Linked DNA regions of Saccharomyces cerevisiae S288C. Changing the gene in region 3 together with the main gene of any one other region gives a genetic interaction. Each region holds a gene or a part of one and is shown on either strand. Other genes may lie near its edges.

Region 1 (4,324 bases), 410 kb from region 3:
AGAGTAGAAAGAATATATTTACTTAGATAACTTAATGTATAATATATAAAAAAAATCAAAAAAACAGGAAAAAAAAAAATCATGAGTGAGTGGCACTTTTAACTGCAAGAATGAAGAGTGACCCCATTTTTTTTTATTCTGATATTACAGTACTCTTCTGTGCGGGCAGCTCCTTCGTTTTTTGTTTTGCACTTTCATCCAACCACACATATATGGAAACAAAAACGACGAATGAAATTATAGCTTTGCTGAATGGATCTATGCTCTTCCAAGTAAACCTTTTATCATCAAGATGAAACACCTTGACCACGTTTTGCACATCAGCAGGTAGTATATTTGCGTTTTTGTTATTTTGTAGGAGAAACCAATTATATTCGATGAATGGAAGTTTCAAGAATTGGGACCTAACTGACGGAGAAGAGTTTGTCAGGACAAATTGAGTTCGAGGTCCAAGAAAGCCAAATGACTTGTAGTACCACAACTGAATGAAATCTTGCTTTAGATCATTCCAGTTTCCTCGCATTTTCTCATTTATGGCAAAATCCAATAAATCTAAGTCATTACCACTTAACTTAGGAAAATTCTGAAGTAATATATTCGTATCTATCAACTGATTGTTATGTGTCGAAGACGGATTGAAGAATTTGTTCATAATGACACCAAGCTCGCCGTTGTTTAGACGCTCAGTTAATAAATGATCGCGTTTCAAACCACTTGTTTCGTCTTCATCTAGATCTGGTGCACTTGGCTGCAAGACGCTAAATATCTCGGACATGGTCTGTGAGAAGGAAATGGGGTTTTCTGTAGATGTAGTACTGCCATTTTGAGCTAACCGTATTTTCTGCTTCAAAAGCAGTGAAGCCGGTGGAATTCTTTCTAATTTTGGTTGATAAAATCTCTTTACCAAAAGATTTCCTGCGACTGCTTTAATCATGGGACCGATTCTGAAGGCTCTATGCGATTTTAATCTGAAGATTTTAACATTTGACAGTACCATCTCAATCGGACCTTTTAACTGATTTTAGCGAGAACATGTGTATATATTTCCTCTAAGAAAAGAAAGGGCCTAAAAACCTCGCCCCAGTGCATAATAAAAGTAAAAAAAAAAAAATCAAACTTTATTGGGATAAAATAAAAATCAGAAAAACCCTTATATATGTATATGTAGTTAAATGAAGCCAGTTTTTTTCGTCTGGTTTGTTTCAGCCTATATGCCCTCTTTGCTTTCTTGCCATCTGCGGATCAATTTCCTTATGATGCGTTTGTTTTCTTGCCAAAACACTTAATATGTCAGTCAATGACACAACACCTATCAATTTACCTGTTCTATACTCCTTTTCGAAATGTGCTGGAGTTGGAGATGCGGGACAATTACTTGGACTTTGAGGTGGTGGCATTGTGGCCGATGGAGACTGTGGTTGAGAAGGTGAGGGACCACTCAAATTTATATTTACATTTATTTTATTGTTTGATGTATCTGAAGATTTTAGAACAGGAGAGTTGGCCATCCTGGAAGATTGCGTGTTCGAATGGTATGACGACGCAAGCGATGGCAATGTCGTTACGGGTGGAGTACTTGGTGATGGAGATGAGGATTTTTCGGAAGATGCTGTTGGTTGATTGTCATTTGGTTGTACTATCCATAATCTGTGAGATTTGGTAGCGACCAATTTGGCAAACGTTCTTGCCAGGGAACTTGTTGGATACACATGGAAAATAGGAAATGAGTCCTTACCGGTCTCTAGGCCCCTTAAATTCAAAATAACCGAGACAAAATGACGACATGTATTGTGTAATAAAGGATATTGTGAAGTTCTGGTGACGTGTTTGACGTCTGTTACTGAAATATTACCAATCAAGTTTCCCTGCGGGTCAACTACCGCAATGGAAGAGATTCTTTCGACATACATTTTATGCAGAGCCATAATTAGATGCTCGTCACCTTGGATGGATATGACACGTGACTGCTTGAATGTAGGTTTATCACGGGCTGCATTTAGTACACCAATATTCAGCTCCTCCAGGGAAGAGTCCAAGAGAGGCTTCAAGTTGGGAAATGATCTCGCATTCTCCCACAGATACTTAATCAATCGACGTTGGGAAAGTATACCTTTAATCTGTGTCATTTCCACGTTCGTGATGGCAACACGATGCACACCTGAGCCTAGTATGCCTATTACCGTCGATAAGTTTTCCGTTTCGGGCAATTTGTAGAATGGATTCTTAGGTGTCAACTTTACTATCTCGCCCACGGGCACGGACTTACCATTCTGGCAGTCTGAGGTTATCTTGTCGTTGCTCACCTTGATCCTGTTTAATACAAGAAGAAGGTACGCATTGAGATCATTATAGTCGAATGTTAAACAATTCATGTCTCCCGGAAAATTCTCCACAGGCAAAGACGTTAGCTGGTGCTTGACCAGCGTGTTGAATGCTTCCTCTACGGAAATAGAACCTCTGATGAAAATCAATTTGTTCTGTTCCACCAAATTTGACAGAGGAGTGTGTTGCCACTCCTGCCTATGAACAGATAACAGATTCTGTGAATTCAAGGTGGACAAGGAGTTGCCATTATTGTTTGAGTATTCCGTGTTATCCAGCGTGGAGAGAGAAGATGAAGATGACGATTTCGAAATAGATTTATGTAGTGATTCTGTGTCGCTTTTGTTTGCTTCAGTGTTCTTGTCTGTCTGTTCGCTCAAACTATTTAAATCTGTGGAATTCGGTAATTGAGGTGGGGTAGAAAGCATTTCTACGATGGACGTGTGTCTTGTATTTTGAGGCATTGGGTGGGTCTTGCTGAAAAGATGATGTTCTGAGGTATTCGTATCGCTAGCTTGATACGCTTTTAACAAAAGTAAGCTTTTCGTTTGCAGGTTTGGTTACTTTTCTGTACGAGATGATATCGCTAAGTTTATAGTCATCTGTGAAATTTCTCAAAAACCTCATGGTTTCTCCATCACCCATTTTTCATTTCATTTGCCGGGCGGAAAAAAAAAAGGAAAAAAAAAAAAAAAAAAAATAAATGACACATGGAAATAAGTCAAGGATTAGCGGATATGTAGTTCCAGTCCGGGTTATACCATCACGTGATAATAAATCCAAATGAGAATGAGGGTGTCATATCTAATCATTATGCACGTCAAGATTCTCCGTGACTATGGCTCTTTTCTGAAGCATTTTTCGGGCGCCCGGTGGCCAAAAACTAACTCCGAGCCCGGGCATGTCCCGGGGTTAGCGGGCCCAACAAAGGCGCTTATCTGGTGGGCTTCCGTAGAAGAAAAAAAGCTGTTGAGCGAGCTATTTCGGGTATCCCAGCCTTCTCTGCAGACCGCCCCAGTTGGCTTGGCTCTGGTGCTGTTCGTTAGCATCACATCGCCTGTGACAGGCAGAGGTAATAACGGCTTAAGGTTCTCTTCGCATAGTCGGCAGCTTTCTTTCGGACGTTGAACACTCAACAAACCTTATCTAGTGCCCAACCAGGTGTGCTTCTACGAGTCTTGCTCACTCAGACACACCTATCCCTATTGTTACGGCTATGGGGATGGCACACAAAGGTGGAAATAATAGTAGTTAACAATATATGCAGCAAATCATCGGCTCCTGGCTCATCGAGTCTTGCAAATCAGCATATACATATATATATGGGGGCAGATCTTGATTCATTTATTGTTCTATTTCCATCTTTCCTACTTCTGTTTCCGTTTATATTTTGTATTACGTAGAATAGAACATCATAGTAATAGATAGTTGTGGTGATCATATTATAAACAGCACTAAAACATTACAACAAAGATGCCAACTTCTGGAACTACTATTGAATTGATTGACGACCAATTTCCAAAGGATGACTCTGCCAGCAGTGGCATTGTCGACGAAGTCGACTTAACGGAAGCTAATATTTTGGCTACTGGTTTGAATAAGAAAGCACCAAGAATTGTCAACGGTTTTGGTTCTTTAATGGGCTCCAAGGAAATGGTTTCCGTGGAATTCGACAAGAAGGGAAACGAAAAGAAGTCCAATTTGGATCGTCTGCTAGAAAAGGACAACCAAGAAAAAGAAGAAGCTAAAACTAAAATTCACATCTCCGAACAACCATGGACTTTGAATAACTGGCACCAACATTTGAACTGGTTGAACATGGTTCTTGTTTGTGGTATGCCAATGATTGGTTGGTACTTTGCTCTCTCTGGTAAAGTGCCTTTGCATTTAAACGTTTTCCTTTTCTCCGTTTTCTACTACGCTGTCGGTGGTGTTTCTATTACTGCCGGTTACCATAGATTATGGTCTCACAGATCTTACTCCGCTCACTGGCCATTGAGAT
Region 2 (3,523 bases), on a different chromosome or scaffold from region 3:
TGAATCTTTATTGGCTGTTCCTTATTTTTAGAGTTCTTTACAGGATTCTATGGAGAGGTATTCTCAAGGATGACAGAAGTGATAGTGAATCAGACGAAGAAAGTGATGAAAGTTCCACTACTCCAACTGACAGTACTCCAACGAAAAAGGATATTTGAAGGAAAACGGTGTTTTTAAGTAGTATAACCATTACACATTAATTCTTTACACATTAATTCTTTTACGGTCCTGCTCTCACGTTCTTCCTTATTGGTTTATGTAAACAGGTATTTTTATAGTATTCTTTTCCAGACATACAGTGTTATCTTTTTTTCTTGCTTTCGTGCCGCTAAAGAGCTGTGAAGATCAAAAGTGATTTACGCTTAGTTAGCATGAATATAAATTCTCAGTTGAAAAGAAGCTATGTTACATTTATGAGCGTTGCTTTAGTATATCTATACAAAAAAAAGAAATTTTTATACAATGGTCTATTAAAAAAGGCTTCCAAATAATAGTTCAGCTTATTCCATGTTGATGTTAGTGCTTTCAACAGTGGAGCTATCGTTGTCATAGTAGGCCGACACCTTGACTTTGAATTCAGAAGCAGCGATACCGAATTGTTTCAGTATTAAAGCTTGACGAACATCTAATTTTTCTCCTTCAGTGCAAACTAAATATGGACTGTCAATGGTGATCTTACCAGCTTTGATTTTAGTTGGAATTTCAAATTTGTTTCTCATAGTTGGCTCTAAAGAATGAATCATTGGAACATCTTCCTCAGCTGGAATTTGACCACCACGTGAGTAGACAATGCCCTCAGGAATTGTAAATGTTAGTGGTGCTTTCGTGTTCGGTCTTGAATAGTCTGAACGAACGTATGACTTAAAGTATTCCTTGACAGTGTTGACATCCTCATCAGTGAACAATAAACCAGTGACACCGCTACAAAGCTTACTCAATTGATACAGATTTTCTTTGTATTCTTCTTCCCTCTTTTCTCCCAATGCTTTTTGTAAAACTTTCCTCTTACCCATAATTAACTTAGAGCCTGCCCAAGATGTTCTGATTTCTTGTAAAACTGGAGTTCTTACGTCGTCAAGATGTAGGACCCAGACGTATCTATAAGTATCTAAGGCTTCCCTCACTTCATCGAAAATTCTTTCTTTATTTTCTCTGCCCTTTTTATCGGTTTGTGCTAAAGTGACTAGCTTGGAACGTTTTGATCTTGGCATGATTCAACTATAATAAATCTTTTATGGACGATAGACAGTGATGTACGTATAGCAAAAGGAATCAGCTCTGCTTAGCCAAAGTACTACAAATATTTGCAACTTTTCAAAAGCTCATCGCATTTTTCTGGAAAAAAATTTTTTCTTTCACCTTCGCCGGGTAAAGTCCTAATGGTTGGGTTTTCTGAACTGAAATCAAATTGTGGGATCATAGCCAACAGTAGTTGGAAAGGGGAATAGCTTTGATCATACCCAGGGAAAGACCACTTTCTGGGATCGATACTTTCCTTTCTGTGTGCTTTATTAACAACAATATATCTCAGGTGTGAAAATTTTGGATAAACATTTAAAATAGAAGAGTAGCCAAGCATGTCTGAAAATAATTCGCACAACCTTGATGAACATGAGTCCCATAGCGAAAACAGTGATTATATGATGGATACGCAGGTAGAAGATGACTATGATGAGGATGGCCATGTACAGGGTGAGTACTCTTATTATCCTGATGAAGATGAAGATGAACATATGCTTTCTAGCGTCGGAAGTTTTGAGGCAGATGATGGTGAAGATGACGATAACGATTACCATCATGAAGATGATTCTGGACTTTTATATGGATATCATAGAACTCAGAATGGCAGTGACGAAGACAGAAATGAAGAAGAAGATGGACTTGAACGTTCTCACGATAATAATGAATTTGGCAGCAACCCCCTACATTTACCTGACATTTTGGAAACATTCGCACAAAGACTAGAACAAAGAAGACAAACAAGTGAAGGACTTGGGCAACACCCGGTTGGAAGAACACTACCCGAGATTTTATCGATGATTGGAGGAAGGATGGAGAGGAGCGCAGAGAGTTCGGCAAGGAATGAGCGGATTTCTAAATTGATAGAGAATACTGGGAATGCCTCCGAGGATCCTTATATTGCAATGGAGAGTTTAAAAGAACTTTCTGAAAACATATTAATGATGAATCAAATGGTTGTCGATAGAATTATACCGATGGAAACCTTAATAGGTAATATAGCTGCCATACTCTCTGATAAAATTTTACGGGAAGAATTAGAATTACAAATGCAAGCTTGTAGATGCATGTATAATCTTTTTGAGGTCTGCCCTGAATCTATTTCAATAGCTGTTGATGAACACGTTATACCAATTTTACAAGGAAAATTGGTAGAGATCAGTTACATTGACCTCGCAGAACAAGTTTTAGAAACGGTGGAATATATTTCTAGAGTACATGGGAGAGACATTTTAAAAACGGGCCAATTATCAATCTACGTCCAATTCTTCGATTTTTTAACTATACATGCGCAGAGGAAGGCTATCGCAATTGTTTCGAACGCCTGTAGCAGTATCCGAACGGATGACTTTAAGACCATTGTTGAAGTACTTCCAACGCTGAAGCCAATTTTCTCGAATGCGACAGACCAACCAATATTAACCAGGCTTGTAAATGCCATGTACGGTATTTGCGGGGCGTTGCATGGGGTTGACAAATTTGAGACTTTGTTTTCGTTGGATTTAATCGAAAGAATAGTTCAGCTAGTTTCTATTCAGGATACCCCCTTGGAGAATAAACTGAAATGTTTGGATATTTTAACCGTATTAGCGATGAGTAGTGATGTACTTTCAAGAGAACTGAGAGAGAAAACTGACATTGTCGACATGGCAACACGATCATTCCAGCATTATAGTAAAAGTCCTAACGCAGGGTTACATGAAACACTGATTTATGTCCCAAACAGTTTATTGATTAGCATTTCTAGATTTATAGTTGTATTGTTTCCTCCCGAGGATGAAAGAATACTGTCAGCGGATAAATATACCGGAAATAGCGACCGTGGCGTAATTTCTAACCAGGAAAAGTTTGATTCCCTAGTTCAATGTCTAATTCCAATTCTCGTTGAAATTTATACAAATGCTGCTGACTTTGACGTAAGAAGATACGTACTTATTGCTTTACTGAGGGTTGTATCATGCATAAATAATTCCACAGCAAAGGCAATCAATGATCAACTTATTAAGTTAATCGGATCTATCCTGGCCCAAAAAGAAACAGCGTCTAACGCTAATGGTACTTACTCATCAGAAGCTGGTACACTGTTGGTTGGTGGTCTCTCGTTGCTTGACTTAATTTGTAAAAAGTTTTCCGAACTGTTCTTTCCTTCCATCAAAAGAGAGGGCATTTTTGATTTGGTTAAGGATTTGTCTGTGGATTTCAATAACATTGATTTAAAGGAAGACGGGAATGAAAATATTTCACTTTCTGACGAAGAAGGGGATTTGCATAGCAGTATTGAGGA
Region 3 (3,914 bases):
TTCTTGCGATGAGCTGCCCTTGCAAATTTTTCACCAAAAAAAAAAAAAAAAAAAGAAATGGAGTGAAAAAAGAAACGAAAAAAAAGGGCATGGGGACCCATACATCAGGCACTTACCCCCAGGAAGGATTACGTCTTTAAATCAGAGGATCAAAGGGTAATTAACAACCACCAGTCGAATTGCTGTCGTCTTTCTTCAATTGCTTTATCCAAAAATCTGAATGGATGTAAGTATTGCCCAGTAAGTTTTCTTGGCAAAATAACCTATAGCGAAATAGACAATCAACGTGATGGGGTTTAAATAGCTAGCGGTAAGTAACCACTAGTAGAACGTAGCTCCATAGCGTGTAATTTGGCGGCAAAATATGTGAAGCAAGCATATTCGTTATTACTTAGCTGCCTGTGAAATCCTGTCTGTGCCTTCTCTTTGCCTTTACTTTGTATAAAAACATATCAACACTGTCTCTGCGTATGAGGCCGAGGTATTTAGAGCATAAGAAAAAATGTGAACAAAAATAGTGTCATCTCCAGTAAGGCTTAAATGTATATTGATTTTCTATATATATATATATATATATATATATTTATGAAATAAACCATATAATTATAAGTAGTAGCTTGGAAAAACGCCAAAGTTGTACTTAGAATGAGGTTTTAAAAAAAAATTATAAAAAAAAACCAAGCGAGAAGTCACGCTTATAACGCAAGTGCACGAACTGCATATGTGTTGGATTGCCAAAGATCAATAGGAAGAATATATTTAGAGAAACTCTGTTTTCTTATGTATCTCGCTTACAGCCTATTTCAATGAACCAGTTTGGAATCTCTTTGCCATGAGATCAGCCTTTAAAGAGTTTGAGCCATCGAGACTGTAATTGGAAGAACGCCTTCTCCTGTCATGAAGAAGAGCACCGGATTCGGTTAAATCGCTAGACGAAATGCCGCTTAGAGAACGTGGAAGAAGAGTGTGATGTGGAAGATCGGCGGAGGGAAGGTTTCTGTTTGTTGTTGGTGCTGAGTGGATTTTAGTCTCAATGGGGAAAATCGTGTCTGAGATGCTTGTTCCGTTAGATATGGAAGCGTTCCGGCTTGACCTTCTGGCGGAATGGGAAATGTGGGTCATGGAGTCCTTGGGTGTTAAGGGAAGTACGGTGTGTCTGGATGCACCATCTGTGAGCTTTAGCTTTGGAGTGTCGAGGGTGTAACCATAATTGCAGTCATCATCATCTAGGATGGCAGACTCGCCTTCGAAAAATGGAGACGACCTTCTAGCCGGGACCGGATGGTGCAGTTGATTTTTTAACCTAGAGTTTTCTTCTTTTAAAGTTTCAATTTCCCGTAGAAGTCTTACTACAATAGCGTCTTGCTCCTTTTCCATTTCGTTTATTATTTCTTCCCTCGAAAGCCTTCTCTGTGCTGACATTGGTGACGAAGAAGGAGACGACGACGTCGAAAGTCTGCGAGGATCACGTGCTACAGCTGGTCTCATGGCTCTTGTAACTGAAGTTTGTCTCTCTCTGCATGGTTTGGCAACAGCCTTCTTGTGTTTTGATTCTTTATTCATGTTTACGGCTCTGGAGGTAGCGATCATTATACTTTATCTTCTATTAATGCTATGATTGATGAATTATACGTATGTATGTATCTGTAAGAAAATAGCCGAATGATTGATTATCTTTTCTTATATATGATTCAAGGGAACGAAAAGAAGACAAGATAATGTTAGGCAAGATAGTTTTTTAGACGACTGAGGCCGAAGATAAGCTTTATATATATGCAAGTCTATTTTTGTACGGGCGAAACCATCTAAGCCAACGATAACAATAGCCAGCTATGATCGTTGAGTACAGCGTGGGGCAATTTTTAGCGTGATTGATAAGGGCGCATTATCTCATCATCCATCGCCAATTTGGGACTCTAACGGCAAACCTCGGATTTCCGTGGAAACGCATGGAAAAATTGATCCGGGCTGTGAGGGGAGTCGAGTCAGTCACTTTTTGGCAACTCTCTCCGTCATGACCACTACTCCGCGGTAGCTGCCAAATTTGGTATTTCCAGGTTGTTTTTTGTGGACAGCCCGCGATCATATGTAAGAGCAGGATGTGTCATCCGCGGGTGAGGTAAACGCTGGCTTGCCATTATGGTTTTTTGGTACGTGTTGAACACGTTGCTTACGATCTTGGTAGGGGCGGGCTGTGATGTGAGAGCCACAAACCCGCTTCCTCGTTGTGGCTCTGGCGCTCCGTTTCTTCTTTCCCCCGCCTTGTAATATGTCGTGCATGCGTCCATGATGATATCGTATTTATTGTATATTGTGGTGATTTCGGCATATTTTAGCACATCTGTAGTATACCACAGAGCTAAAACAACCGATTATAGTCAACATTATACAGCATTATGTCTGGATACTTCAACCATCTTTCTTCGAATGCACATTTCGCAAATATTCAAGCCGATCAGGGCTTCATAGGTGATGCTACTGGCACAAGCAGCGATCATGGCAGTAGTGGCATGGTTGATTTTGCCCTACAACTCGGAGAACTGAGCCTAGAAGAGAAAATACTTAAAGAGTTCACCTTATTCCAGAGCAAGAACATGGACTTATTGCAAGAGACGGCGACGGCGTGTCCGAGTACTAATCCTTCCTTGAGACAGAGCCGAATTCAAGGCTGGTGAACGCCTGATGCGAGCTATACGTTTTGTGCTCACCGTGCACATATGGTGGCTACTTTTCTACTCAAACACGTTTGAAAAACGGCATACGATTAGCTTACAGATTGAACTCAAAGAAGTCGCAATGGGAGGTGCAGAAGATGACGTGTTACTTAGTTTATAATACAATGTGTTTTATATATCGATTCTTCGTTTATGCATTTCTGGACGATTGCTTTTCACTGTAAATACGCACTAATATTCATGAATATAAAAAAATGTAACATCATATCTCAATGTTCTTCTCCGTCAGTCAGATAGTGGCAAGGCTGTGATAGGACATTCTTAGAACGCCAAGAAAATCAAAAATTTGAACGGTATCTAAATTCATTTGTCGAACCCTTGAAGAAACTCACAGAGCGGGGTATCTACTATTTTGTTTTCGTTCTTTTGAATCTCCGCTACGTCACATTTTCTACAACCCTCAGGTCCCCTCACCACGAAAATCCAAGATTTGTAAAATATGAGCCGCGTATTTCTGCAATGGTAGAAACGATAATGTACCTATCGTACAACGATACATTATTTTAGTGCATTATAAGCCGCTTGATTCATGTTGATAATTAGCGGCTAAATTGTAGTAGTCATTCAAAATAATCGTACACCTTCATATAGTTATGAAAGGGGTATAAAAGATGAACGCTCGTTGGCCATGTCAAAGGTGCCTTAAAAATAACAATGCTTGCGGTAGTACGTGTGCAAAGTGTATATTCGCATGAGAGGTGATCGGAAATTGCTTTATCGCCCCACTAATTCTGATTCTTATTCAAATATTTATGTCACGTAGCGAGCTTACTTATCCATATATCAAAGGAAATCCAGATATAAACTCAAACTAATTCTTCTGTTTCCACGTAACTAGCATTCACATTGTAGTTTTCTAGATTACAGCAATTTATATATATTGTTGGAATAAAAATCAACTATCATCTACTAACTAGTATTTACGTTACTAGTATATTATCATATACGGTGTTAGAAGATGACGCAAATGATGAGAAATAGTCATCTAAATTAGTGGAAGCTGAAACGCAAGGATTGATAATGTAATAGGATCAATGAATATTAACATATAAAATGATGATAATAATATTTATAGAATTGTGTAGAATTGCAGATTCCCTTTTATGGATTCCTAAATCCTCGAGGAGAACTTCTAGTATATCTACATACCTAATATTATTGCCTTATCAAAAATGGAAT
Region 4 (4,694 bases), on a different chromosome or scaffold from region 3:
GATTTTGTCTGTTTACTACCACTTTTAGAGTTATCAAGGACAATTGCTATCATAAATAGAATTGTTAATCAAAATGATCTAAAACACCCCTAACGAAGGGCGGATAATTGAAAATAAAGCCAGAACATACCTTTTTGGTCCATTTCCAATCGTTTGAATATGGTCGTGGAGGTTAATGCTGTTCGTTTAAATCGTTTCAGAATGCAAAATTAACCGCATCAGTTTCTGCATTGTGTGTACATTCGCCTGACATATTTTGCTTTAATTTTCCACGACAAGAAAAAAAGATATACATATACGCGACAATAGCAAAAGTCAGAGTTTAATAAGTTGAATATACAAAATAGAATATATAAATGTTTTCAGAACAAGTATATACGCTTAAATGTCTACAAAATACTTAAAACCATATAAATGAACAATATTTTCTTTTAGTCATTGTAAAAGATTTTTTTTTTTGAGGGAGAGGGAAACAGCGGGAAAAGACAACGCTGCAAGCCTCACATGGCGATACTGCCTCTCTGTCTTCTTGCGGATTGCGGATCCACTTCTTTATTCCCTGTTTGTTTCCTTGCTAATAAGTTGATGATGTCTGTCAATGAGACCACACCGATCAACTTACCCGTTCTATATTCCTTTTCGAATAGGTTTGGTGTGTTTGTTGAGGAAGCGGGACTTGGTGGTGGGATCGCGATGGCCGAAGAACGTGGGGATGGTGGGTCTTCCATTGCTGTCATCAACGGAGAGTGGGAGTTGAGGGATGTTGAAGAGGATGACTTTGACATTGGAGTCGCACCATTAGCAGACGATTGAGCGGTGGCAGAAACTGCATTGGCTGCAGTATTAGCAGCTGTTAAATTTGTGGATGACGCCGAGGTTGACGACTCCGGCGGTTGTACGATCCATAGTCTATGAGACTTTGTAGCAACTAACTTGGCAAGAGTCCTTGCTAGTGAACTACTGGGGTATACGTGAAAAATGGGGAAAGAATCTTTACCCGTTTCTAATCCTCTGGAGTTTAAAATGACAGAAATGAAATGGCGACATGTCTTATGTAGTAAGGGGTATTGGGAGGTTCTTGTGACATGTTTTACGTCCGTTACCGATATGTTACCTAGCAAATTACCTTGTTTGTCGATGACTGCAATGGAAGAAATTCTTTCCACATGCATTTTATAAAGGCCCATGATTAAGGGCTCCTCGCCTTGAATAGAGATGACACGGGATTGTCTTGAAGTTGGCTTAGATTGAATATTGAGAACACCGATGTGCAAATCTTGTAATGAGGAGTTTAATAGAGGTTCTAAGCTTGTAAAAGATCTAGCGTTGTCCCAAAGATACTTTATCAAACGACGTTGGGACAAAATACCTTTAACTTTGGTCATCTCTTCGTTTGTTATCGCTACACGATGGACACCCGAACCGAGAATCCCCATCACCGTGGACAAACTCTCATTCTCCGGCAGCTTATAGAACGGATTCTTAGGAGTTAGTTTCACCATTTCGCCCACTGGTACGGGTTTTCCATTCTGGCAATCTGCAGTAAGCTGTTTGTTGCTGACGGTGATTTTATTCAAAACCAGCAAAAGGTACGAATTAAGGTCATTGTAGTCGAAAGTAAAACAGTTCATGTCGCCGGGGAAAGATTCCACGGGAATAGAGTTTAGATGATACTTGATCAAAGTGTTGAATGCCTCCTCTACCGATATGGAACCTGGAACAAAAATAAGCTTATTCTGTTCGATCAATTGCGACAACGGTATGTGTTGCCATTTTTGGGCGTGCACACATGACAGACACTGCGATGGCGTCTGGGTCATAGGAACAGCTGATAGTTTGAATTGAGGCTTTTCATCGCGCAAGGGGGCGGGTGTAGCAGCACAACCTGGACCAGGCGCTGCCGCTGTTGCTGTTGGCGGCGTGGACTCTTCTGGTTGTTCCTTGTCGTCTGTATCGTTCACTTGAACGTGGGGCAGCAATGGCGGAGTAGACAGCATCTCCACAATGGATGCATGTCTAGAAGTTGGAAGGTTGTTGGAAGAATTGCTTTGGCTTGGAGGGAACGTGTTCGAAGTAGAAGCCATGTTGTGTGAAGGAAGAAACGGTAATTGTTCTATAAGTGTTTATAGTTATTATAGTTGGGTTGTGTGCCTGATCTTGCCTGATAAGATAGAAGAAAAGTTGATCTGAACAGGCATTGTTGTTCGTTCTCCAACCCCTATATATGCGAAATATATACAAAATCCCAGTAGATTTTCTCTACACAATAGAAAGGACGCGCCCCTTAAAAGAGGAGGCCCTGTCGCTCAAGACGAGCAGTACTCGCTAAGCAACCGTTCTCTGGGAGGGAACTGCAAGGAACAGTTCTGTTCTTGAAACATGACCTTGAAAAGATCCAGCAGACGTTTTACGTCGATGTTGTGGCAGTGCTGAATGCCGAAGAGGTCTGTGCAGCGTCTGGCCCAATCCATGCGGTACTTGACATCCTTGTCGTCTGGTGCCAGCAGCCTAATTCCTCTTCTCAGCTCACCTAGTTTGACGACAGCGTCCTCCAGCGCCAGATCCCCCATTTGTGTGAATAAGTTACGGATCTCATCTCTTACTAGAGCGCCAAAGCGCGGAGAAAGGCCGTTGGTAGAGATCAGAATCTGTAGACGGTCTCCTATCTCCAGGTTGGCGCCGAAATAAAAGTCACAGAGATCAGGTTTGTCCGCCACATTGACCAGCTGCTGCTTACCGAATCTTTCCTTACAAAGGTGATATATTCTTGCGCTTTCAGGGTGGTCGGGTATACAGGTCATTATTATGTACCACGCGTCGTTCTCGTCTTCTAGGTCGAGGTATTCGTCTTTGAAGTCACTGCGGATGTACTCGTAAATTTCATTCTTCGTGGGGTCCCAGTTCGGATTGATAAAGCGTTTAGCGTCTTCTCTGTAGTCGGGCTGATCCTCGTTCTGGATGAATTTTCCAAACTTCGGAATAATGGATTTGTGTAGGTCAGGAGATACTAAAGTCAGCTTGCAACCTGTAGGTATCAGCTTATATAACCTTGTCAAGCCGACTTCTCCGCCTCCGATTAGTAGTATTTTCTTGTCTTTTAATTGATGGGCTAGCTGTAGCGATTTGACCATTTTTTATCCTATTATACACTCTCTTATTTTGCACACTTCATGAACAATGTATGGCAAAAATGTCTGGCACAGCCTTTTATTGAAGTAAATGTATATATATATATATGTGTGTGTGTGTGTCCATCATTTACATGCTACTGCCCGTAGTCATCGGACTTTGTAGCGATTTTCACATTTTTTTTCCGTCAGCATGGCTATTATAACACGTGAAATTATGACGCCAGCTTTTCGCATATATAGTTAATATAAAACACTTTGAAACGGAACTGTTTGAGTAAATAAATGTACTTAGATAGATAAAAATAGATAGGTAGTATAGAGGAAAAACAAATTTGATTAGAATTATGGATCGACAATTGACTAGGTTGTAACTGAAATGGCATTAATAGAAGAAACGTAAGAACGTAGAGACGCAGATAAAACTGCGGACAAGATTAAAATTTTCTTTTTTTGTCTTTTGTAATCAATGTAGAAGAGAAGGATGAATTGGCGGAACATTGTTCCTATTAGGATGCTTGTTCATGATGCTCGATTTCGAATTATTGGAATTCGGGGCTATATTTAAGGGAGGAGTCATCATCCTGGACACGTCATACATATTTGCACCGTTTCCCATTCCGTATGGTACTGGATTTACGTTCATGTTCATGTTCATGTTAGAATTCATGATCATGTTTGTGTTAGGGTTTGTGTTCATGCTTGAGGCCGTTTTATTGCTGTTGCCATTGGGCAGTTGCATAGAAATTGACATCGCGTTCCCAAATTGAGGTAAGTTATTAGTAGCATTGGAGAATTGGTTGCCCGTCGGATGGAGCGAGTATGAGGGACTTGAATATTGGTGTGGGTACAGTGCACCGTCTTCTTGCATATACGGGACATTAGATCTCTGCAGATTAACGAGGTCGCTATGGCTGCCATTCTTGTTCCTGTGATAATCGTAATTATTGTAGTTGTAATAGTTGTTGTGCGCCATTTGCTCCATAGAAAAGTTACCATCCTGTTGCTGCTGCTGCTGCTGCTGCTGCTGCTGATGTAAAAAGAGTCGCCTTTTATCTTCCGCATATTGTTCAAGAATTTGTTTGGAGTTATCGACTGAAGAAGCCGCAGATGGCGCTCTCAGGCCATTTGAGGACATATATTGGCTTGCCCCCATGATGGTCGAATTTGTTTTAGCATTTGAACTGGATGGGCGTCCCCATGATAATCTTATTGGACTGCCGCCCACAATAAAGCCTTGCAGGCCTTGTATTGAAGCTTCAGCATCAATCCTCTTCTCGAATTTAACAAACCCACAGTTTTTACCATTGGGAATCCTGACATTTAGAATGGGTCCAAAGGGTTTGAATAGTGAACGTAATTGAAATTCGGTAGTTTTTGGTACCAGTCCTCCCACAAAAACAGTAGTATTAGTGGGGTCTGTATTATAGGTGTTTGAAGGTAGTGAATCATTTACACGCATGTTTGAAATGCCGCCCTCATTCAAATGCATTGGAGGCGCGTTATGCAAGGCATTGAGAGGAAGCATGTTGCTATTGTTTTGAATGAGATTATTTGCAGTCTTAA

The links.
Region 1: mutations in RTS3 (region 3) and SDS23 impair growth when combined (synthetic growth defect), as found in Saccharomyces cerevisiae (one study listed by BioGRID).
Region 2: mutations in RTS3 (region 3) and MRT4 together harm fitness more than expected from each alone (negative genetic interaction), as found in Saccharomyces cerevisiae (2 studies listed by BioGRID).
Region 4: mutations in RTS3 (region 3) and SDS24 impair growth when combined (synthetic growth defect), as found in Saccharomyces cerevisiae (one study listed by BioGRID).

Annotation. Positions count from the first base shown.
Region 1 is NC_001139.9:394,833-399,156, forward strand, and holds SDS23 (Sds23p), read right to left. Parts: upstream 2,787-4,324; coding exon 1,203-2,786; downstream 1-1,202. Other genes in the region: GEP7 (Gep7p), read right to left, coding at 134-997; OLE1 (stearoyl-CoA 9-desaturase), read left to right, coding at 3,796-4,324. UniProt on the Saccharomyces cerevisiae protein: Involved in DNA replication and cell separation during budding.
Region 2 is NC_001143.9:423,930-427,452, reverse strand, and holds MRT4 (ribosome assembly factor MRT4), read right to left. Parts: upstream 1,212-3,523; coding exon 501-1,211; downstream 1-500. Other genes in the region: sphingosine N-acyltransferase LAC1, read left to right, coding at 1-158; putative ubiquitin-protein ligase UFD4, read left to right, coding at 1,578-3,523. UniProt on the Saccharomyces cerevisiae protein: Component of the ribosome assembly machinery. Nuclear paralog of the ribosomal protein P0, it binds pre-60S subunits at an early stage of assembly in the nucleolus, and is replaced by P0 in cytoplasmic pre-60S subunits and mature 80S ribosomes.
Region 3 is NC_001139.9:807,831-811,744, forward strand, and holds RTS3 (Rts3p), read right to left. Parts: upstream 1,591-3,914; coding exon 799-1,590; downstream 1-798. Other genes in the region: YGR161W-C (uncharacterized protein), read left to right, coding at 2,397-2,675; YGR161W-A (gag protein), read left to right, coding at 3,908-3,914. UniProt on the Saccharomyces cerevisiae protein: May be a component of a protein phosphatase type 2A (PP2A) complex. Negatively regulates SIT4 phosphatase, a modulators of caffeine sensitivity.
Region 4 is NC_001134.8:648,805-653,498, reverse strand, and holds SDS24 (Sds24p), read right to left. Parts: upstream 2,085-4,694; coding exon 501-2,084; downstream 1-500. Other genes in the region: HPC2 (Hpc2p), read right to left, coding at 1-46, 131-143; bifunctional precorrin-2 dehydrogenase/sirohydrochlorin ferrochelatase MET8, read right to left, coding at 2,307-3,131; NGR1 (Ngr1p), read right to left, coding at 3,595-4,694. UniProt on the Saccharomyces cerevisiae protein: Involved in DNA replication and cell separation during budding.